Daphnia pulex: one gene and its partner. The protein of the gene in region 1 interacts with the protein of each later gene in a biochemical or structural test. Links are inferred from orthologs where the notes say so. Each region holds a gene or a part of one and is shown in the gene's direction. Other genes may lie near its edges.

The links.
Region 2: the proteins of elongation factor-like GTPase 1 (region 1) and ribosome maturation protein SBDS-like interact in a biophysical measurement, tested with the Homo sapiens proteins (2 studies listed by BioGRID and IntAct, with this or other methods). The link is inferred for Daphnia pulex from reciprocal best matches to the Homo sapiens genes EFL1 and SBDS.

Annotation. Positions count from the first base shown.
Region 1 is NC_060017.1:4,208,508-4,213,085, reverse strand, and holds the start of elongation factor-like GTPase 1, read left to right. Parts: upstream 1-1,681; 5' UTR 1,682-1,797; coding exon 1,798-1,865; intron 1,866-1,930; coding exon 1,931-2,026; intron 2,027-2,104; exon of another isoform or gene 2,105-2,157; intron 2,158-2,250; coding exon 2,251-2,409; intron 2,410-2,477; coding exon 2,478-2,629; intron 2,630-2,703; coding exon 2,704-2,911; intron 2,912-2,971; coding exon 2,972-3,312; intron 3,313-3,381; coding exon 3,382-3,569; intron 3,570-3,688; coding exon 3,689-3,997; intron 3,998-4,059; coding exon 4,060-4,362; intron 4,363-4,425; coding exon 4,426-4,578. Other genes in the region: flocculation protein FLO11-like, read left to right, coding at 1-453. UniProt on the Homo sapiens protein: GTPase involved in the biogenesis of the 60S ribosomal subunit and translational activation of ribosomes.
Region 2 is NC_060020.1:5,634,345-5,637,664, reverse strand, and holds ribosome maturation protein SBDS-like, read left to right. Parts: upstream 1-1,294; 5' UTR 1,295-1,348; coding exon 1,349-1,479; intron 1,480-1,541; coding exon 1,542-1,872; intron 1,873-1,932; coding exon 1,933-2,097; intron 2,098-2,159; exon of another isoform or gene 2,160-2,387; coding exon 2,388-2,516; 3' UTR 2,517-2,603; downstream 2,604-3,320. Other genes in the region: RING finger protein 37-like, read right to left, coding at 1-547, 850-1,061, 1,155-1,210; ubiquitin-protein ligase E3B-like, read right to left, coding at 2,647-2,819. UniProt on the Homo sapiens protein: Required for the assembly of mature ribosomes and ribosome biogenesis.

The DNA of each region.
Region 1 (4,578 bases):
ATCAAGGGAAGATTGAACGTCAATTCCAAAAACCAACAACTCACCACCAGCGTTGCGCAACCCAGCGTCAAGCTTGTTGATTCTAGCGCATCTTCTGTCAGCCTCGCCTTGAACAAAAACGACGGAAAAGTCTCGACTGGCAGTAGCGGATCTGAATATGGTCACCGATACTTGGAGAAGATCACCGTCGCCCAAGCGACGGCCAAAAACGAGACGCTGGGCCCGGAGGTATGTGTACGAGCCGGTCTCTTCCGTCATCCGTCAGACTGTCAAAAGTTCTACGAGTGCTACTGGGATCGCTGGATTCACCAGTACACAGTTCACATTTTCAAATGCCCCGTTCACCTTGTGTACGATGACTACATCACTGCCTGCAATTGGCCGTTGGACGGACCCGCTTGTGTACCTCATGAAGCGGTCAAGCTGTACCCACAGCTCCTGTCTACCGTCTGATGAGGTTAATTTTCCCATTTATTGCTCTTCCACAGGCATTACCTTATTGTGCAGCAAACGAAATTAATTTTTTATTTTCTACAAGAGTAGGGTTTAATATAATATACACGAGTAGATTTACACACATAAGCCCAGCTGCAGTGAAACAATGGAATGTTCCTTTTTTTTAGGATTGTAATTGGTTTCCTATATTTAAAAATCGTATGTATCTCAAAGAGATGGTTGGCGATTAAATGGTTGATTGTATTGATGATGCCAACATTCATTGTTTCACTTTGCTTTCCAAAATCCTATTTACAAAGCGAAAAAAATTATGATTGATCTGTAAGCCTCCACTTCTATAATTCCCAATCACTTCTATAATTCTTGACAAAATGAATCTGACATAGGTCACAGACTATTCCAGCATTGCTTTTCTTTTCCCTTTGGAGTTAATATATATAATAAATATATGGAAATGTGCGTAACTATTATGATCATTATCATATTTAATTTCCCCCTTGCTTCGGGTATTTGTGGCCTTTCCTCAATGAATAAATGTGTAATCTTTGATATATGAATCGATAAGGTGCGAGACAACTATTTCGAACTTGCCCGAGTCACATTTACTATGCCGAAAGGTTAAAAAAGGATTGTCAACATGTCTATAAAAGTTTCATGCTTTTCCAACTACGAAATAGAATGGTGAAGTAAGTGCTTTATCTTACTTTCTTTTGTGTGCACTTTCGGACGAGTTAAATGCATAAATTCTTCATGGGTATTGTATGTATAGGTACAAAGCTTTCTATTTTATAATACACAATATAAATAAAACGGTACATCCGGCATACTTAATGAGACATCAAATTAGAAATTCATTTCTAAAAATTTGACTTGGCTAACGTCCGAACTCGTCGATTCGGCAAAAAAATGGGCTGCCGAATCGACATTTTGCCGAATCGCCTTTCCAATTCGGCAAAATTTCCTGATTGTTTGTAAATGGTACACATTCACATTTAGTTGAACTACAAACTACCAAAAAATTAATAATAAATAAAGTACACTCAATATCCAGGTAAAATAAACAAAATAATACAATTTTTTTTTCACCCTTTCATCGAACTGGCATCGGACGTTAGCCAAGTCTAATCCATTTCATATTTCGTGCCGATGAGTTGCAGAAAAATTCCGCGCAAGTTTAGTACGCGCATTTTAGTTACGCCGGTTATGTGTAATGCTGTGGTGTAATGTGTTATTGTGTACTACTGCTAGTCTGTCTGCTACAGGCATGTTATTAGGTAAAGCTGCATGGTTCTAAACTTGTAATCTAGTGCCTAAGTTTGTTAAACCAGAACCTTCAGCACCATGAAGCAATTTAATAGACAGAGGATAGGTGAACTTCAAAACAATCCCTTGAATATCAGGAATATCTGGTAAGTTATTTGACAATATTAAATAATCATAAATCTCTACACAACTTGAAATTTTTTTCATCCAGTATAGTGGCCCATGTAGATCATGGAAAAACCACATTAGCTGACTCACTTGTTGCCTCCAATGGTATCATATCTCAGAAATTGGTTGGTAAATTGAGGTATGAATATTTTAATGTTATCTGGGTTTTCTATTTCTTTGACCACATCAAATGTTATGATTTTCATTCATGCTTCAGGAAACTGACTTCTCTTTAAGTTATCGTTTGGTTTTATTATGTGCATAACGCAGGTATAAATAGTGTTGTTAGAATTTGCTTAGTTGTAAAAAATAATGACATTTTTGTAAGAATAGCAGCTAGATTTAATTTTGAAATGTTTCCAGATACATGGATAGCAGAAAAGATGAACAAGAAAGAGGAATAACCATGAAGAGCAGTAGTATTTCGTTATTACATACACATAACAATAAAGAATTTTTGGTGAACCTTATTGACAGCCCAGGGCATGTGGATTTCTCTTCAGAGGTATCAACAGCAGTGAGGTAATATGCTAAAAAAATGTAAAAAATTAATAATTTTGGCTTGAATTTTGGTTTGAATTTTTCTGAAGGTTGTGTGATGGTGCAGTTGTTGTAGTAGATGTAGTTGAAGGTGTATGTGCCCAAACAAAAGTGGTGTTGAAACAGGTATGGCTTGAACACATAAAGCCAGTCCTTGTGTTGAACAAGATTGATCGTTTGATAGTAGAAATGAAAATGCAACGTAAGTATTTTAAAACATGCTTAAATAGTTAAATATCAGTGACAAGTTTTTCTAATAGCTTATTATCTAACCAGCCTTAGATGCTTATATCCGTATGGTACAATTACTTGAACAAGTAAACGCTCAAGTAGCAGAACTCTTCACTATCGATGTAATGAGTAAAAAAGAAAATAATACGGATAGCAGCTCCGGCTTAGAAGAAGCAGACGATTCCAACATTTACTTTGCTCCAGAACAAGGCAATGTTGTTTTTGCAAGCGCGGCCGATGGTTGGGGATTTTCGTAGGTTTCTGACATGACCTTATTATACGCTTGATTAATTTATTTTTCTTCCAATCGTAGAATACGAGATTTTTCACGAATGTTTGCTTCTAAGCTTGGGCTACATGAAGAAGAGCTCCAACTTTCATTGTGGGGTGATAACTATTTCAATTCCAAAACGAAAACTGTTGTAAAAGGGGCACAAGAGAAAGCAAAAAAGCCATTGTTTGTCCAAGTTGTTTTAGAGAATTTGTGGTCCATTTATGATGCAGTCGTTGTGCGTAAGGACAAAATTATGACTGAGAAAATAGTTCAGAGTCTTCAGTTACAGATGGCCCCTCGAGATCTCAAGCATTCCGATCCGAAAGTGCAAATACAAGCCATACTCAGCAAATGGCTTCCGCTATCTGAGAGTGTACTTCGTAAGTATAGATTACATTTTACAATTCCTAAATTTAAAAAAAATCTTTTAAATCCGAAATTACATGAAGGAATGGTTTGCGAAAAATTACCTAGTCCGTCTGACATAACCGATGCGAAAGCTGAAAAGCTTATGTCTTCACTGTCAAAACCATTTTGTTTACTTCCTGAAGCTACACAGCAACTAAAAAAGGCATTCGTAGCATGTTCTTCTTCCAGCGATGCACCTGCAATCGCGTTTGTTTCAAAAATGATAATGGTAAAAGAACGATTCTGTAATCAATATTAAATTAAACTTGAACAATTTAGACGTGTGTGATAGTGTAAAATAATTGAATATTTGAAAAGATCTGTGATAAATTTTTGCTTACAATCTAGGTGGATCGACAATGTTTGCCCAAGAGTAAAGTAACACTTTTAACTTGCGAGGATATTGCACTTCGCCGGCAGCAAGTCAGACAGAAACTCGCCGAACTTACTCTACAACAAGAGCAAGGAAAAGTTTGTGAAGTTGAAGAACCAGTAAAACCAAAAGAAGTAATTGAAGAAGCTCCTGTTTTCGTTGCTTTCGCCCGTGTCTTCAGCGGAACCCTAAAAAAAGGACAGGAATTGTACGTTTTGGGTCCAAAGTATGATCCCATGGAGTGCCCGACGGAGGGCGACATTGATCCCAGCTTGACTTTAAAAGTAAGTTCATTTGCGATAGAAATGAAAGAATGATTAACATTTTCATTATTCTATGAATTCAGGATTTGAAAAGCGGCCATCACGTTACTCGTGTCAAAATTGGGGATCTGTACCTTATGATGGGTCGGGAGCTGGAAACTTTGGAGAGTGCTCCAGCTGGAAGCGTGGTCGGTATAGGTGGTTTAGAAGAGCATATTCTTAAATCAGGAACTCTAAGCTCTACTCTGACTTGTCCTGCCTTCACTGAACTGTCTCAAATGGTTGTGCCTATTGTGCGCGTGGCTGTAGAACCCGCACGGCCTAGTGAAATGCCTGAACTCATTAAAGGTCTTAAACTTCTAAACCAAGCTGACCCTTGCGTTCAGGTAACTTCTTTCATTTCCAATAACATTAAACGTGTAGTGCGTCTAACCTTTTCTTAATAACAGGTGGTACTGCAAGAAAGTGGAGAACACGTATTAATCACCGCTGGTGAAGTCCATTTACAACGATGTCTCCGAGATCTTAGAGAATCTTATGCAAAAATTGAAATTAATGCATCACAGCCTATTGTTCCATTCCGCGAGACTATAGTGGCCCCT
Region 2 (3,320 bases), on another chromosome or scaffold:
GCGAAACGCTCCAAAGTCCTCTCGTCTATGACGTTACCAGATGGTAAACGGACTGGCATGGACATTATTTCGCACGTCAAGCCATCAAGGAATTCTTCGGGGATTTCAAAATCATCTTCAGCCGCAGCACCTGCAATTTGACTGGCCTCGGTGTTAGTGTTAGTGCCACTTTTGCGGGCATCAATCACGTCAGGCCTATTACGGGAGCAGAGAGTTTTCGGTTGGTTGTTATCGTACCACTTGGATAGAACAGTTCTTGCTAGCGGAGCAGGGCAAGAGTAATCCACATACCCCCATACAGATAAGCTCCCAAGGGCTGGTATAGAAGAGCCAGATGTTTTAACAATTCTGATTCGCAGGCTCCAGACAGACGACAGTGACTTGTTCATTCGACCGTTTATGTCTTGCCTGGCAAAATTTTCTGCAGGGAGTGATCTACATGAAGCAGAATGTAGAGCACTAACTATGTAGACCCCCTTTTTATCACAATCCCAATAGTACTTCCCAACCTGGTTAAAAATCCCATAGTTGAATGCATCATATCCACCTGTTAAAAGATAGAAAAAGAACCTCCTTTGAAAAAATTTCCAATCTGGCCATAAACATGTGTTCAATCTGTTTGACACAGTTACTAATGACGCTTTATACATCCCTCAGACACTAAATTATTATTTACTACACCATCAGAAAACAACCCACATAAAAGATGTTCTCTTCAATACATTCTGATCTATGAAGGTCAAATTCTACATCCTGCTACAAGAACCAAGGCTAAAACATGCAAGTCACTAATAAAACAAACTTATACCACTTATACTATTTCCAAAATATCTTTGCCACTTCTCTTACCTGATTGTTCACATTGAACGAAGATCTCACATCCTGTAGATTGTTGAGAACCAACTCTGGAATTGACCGAAATGCAGCATATCTTGACAGGACATGGAAATTGAAGTATGATATCAACTGGAGGGCGCACAAAAGAGTCAGCAAGAAAACCTCGATTTCTTGAGGTGAGATCATCAGATATTAGATTTTCAATTTTGTAATTATCAGCCATCCTACAAGCAAAAGCAAGAAAATTTATGTTATTTTCTGCAATATTCTTTTAGTTGAGATAATATTATAACTATTAAATAAAAATTATTACTGACACTTGACTACACAAGATCCGAGATCCCAAATATTCATGGCAAAAGTTAACAGCCATTTAACAGCAGACAGCACACGAACAAATGTTCCGTGAATCTTTCAAACTTCAAATGACCATGCCCCAAGTTTTGTTGTTTCGTCTGCTAGTCATTCTATCTTTTTTTGTCGGCCACGCTTGTCACACACACAAGTCGAGATGTCTAAAATATTTACCCCAACAAATCAAATTCGTCTAACAAATGTAGCAGTAGTACGAATGAAAAAAGGTGGTAAGCGATACGAAATTGCGTGTTACAAAAATAAAGTCGTATCTTGGAGAAATAAAGTGTAAGTTTGATTTGAATTATATTGTAATTTTGCTTTTGATATCTAAAGTAAATTCCCTATAGTGAAACAGATCTCGACGAAGTTCTTCAAGCAAGAACGGTATTCTCCAATGTTTCCAAAGGCCAAGTTGCTAAAAAAGAAGATTTGATATCTAGTTTTGGAACGGAAGACCAGAATGTCATCTGCCAAGAGATTCTTGCAAAGGGAGAACTGCAGGTGTCTGAGAAAGAGCGTCATGTTCAACAAGACTCCATGCTAAAGGAAATTGCCACAATGGTGTCAGATAAATGTGTTAACCCTGAAACCAAAAGACCCTATCCTGTAACCATGATTGAAAAAGCAATGAAAGACATCCATTTCTCAGTAAAGCCCAACCGAAATTGTAAACAACAGGTTGGTATTATAGCTAATCACCGTTTTTTAAAGTTCTAAAATTATGTTTCTACATTTTAGACTCTGGAGGTTATTAAGATGCTGAAGAGTCACATGCCAATTGAGAGGGCTCATATGAGGTTAAGAATTTCTGCTCATAAAGAAGGTAGAAAACTCAAAGAAAAGCTGTCAAAATTGTGCACTAGCATTGAGTCTGAAGAATGGGAGGACAGCACCCTTATTTTGGTAAGCCTGAGTTTAAAATACACTTTTAAATTATAGATTTTTTTTTTTTAATTTAAAAACAATTTATGTAGAACCTTTTTATTTATTATACAATAGTTTTGGTTTGTATTATTTTAGTCGGTGATTCAATTATATAGATTGTATACAGTAGAAAGCGCATTCTAAAAAAGCTTACACTTGCAGGAGAGACAAGCTGCATTAGAAATAAGCAAATGTTTCAATGTCTCTATTTGTTAAAATTTAAATACGCTCAATGATGTGATTCCTTTTTTTTTTTTTTTAAATAATAGGTATGCTTGATCGATCCGGGTAATTTCCGCGAAATTGAAGATCTGGTCAAGTCCGATACAAAAGGTCAAGGTCACATGGAATTGCTTAATTTAAAAGAAGTAACGGAAGGAGAAGAAACGGTAGAATAATTATTTTCCACGCTGTCAGTTGTCGCGTAAGGAAAATATACTGTTTGTTTTTTTGGTGTCAGGCGATCGCCTTACCTATTTGAAAAACGACTGATTTTTTAATTTTTGTTTTAACACGAGCAGAGGTGATTCAAGACAGTTCGAATCCCGTGTTGCTAGTGATGGCATAACGGAGTTTCTCCTTCAACGTACTTCTGCGCTGGTAGTTTGGCAGTTTCAGCAAATTGAAGCAAGTAGAAGACGTTGGCAGTCGGTTAATGGGATCTCGCTTTCGAATGGTAAAGAAACCTCGAATAACGCTTCCTGAAAAAGAAATAGCACAAAAGGATCAAATAGAATTAAGGTTTTTGAGTTTTGACAAAAGAATCGAAAACCTAGCTGGTGGTGACGGGGCAACTTAACCGTTATGATGGGAAACTATCATCGTGCCAGTTAAAAAAACGTCGACAGGATTAGTCAAATCTAGGTAGCTGTTAGGCCGGAAATGGGGAGGGGCAATATAAGAAAGCAATTCAAGCGCTCGTGTTTCTATGATAGGTCTGTTTTCAACAGGCTGTGGTCAGATACTGAATTAGGTCAGTGGCCATGAAAAAAAAAATGTAGAAACACGAATAATAATTTCATGGTTCCTTTTGAACGGCTGCAGAAACTGTCCACGCCATTAAAAGTTCAATACTTCACGCCCATAAGTGGCTTGACTCGACACGGATTAAAATGCACAACGACTTTCTTGCTCAGTGTTGAAGGGTATAGCAAAGCTCCAAAGGAAAGGAGTTTCGGTCACGCTTGGCAAAGCTTACTTTC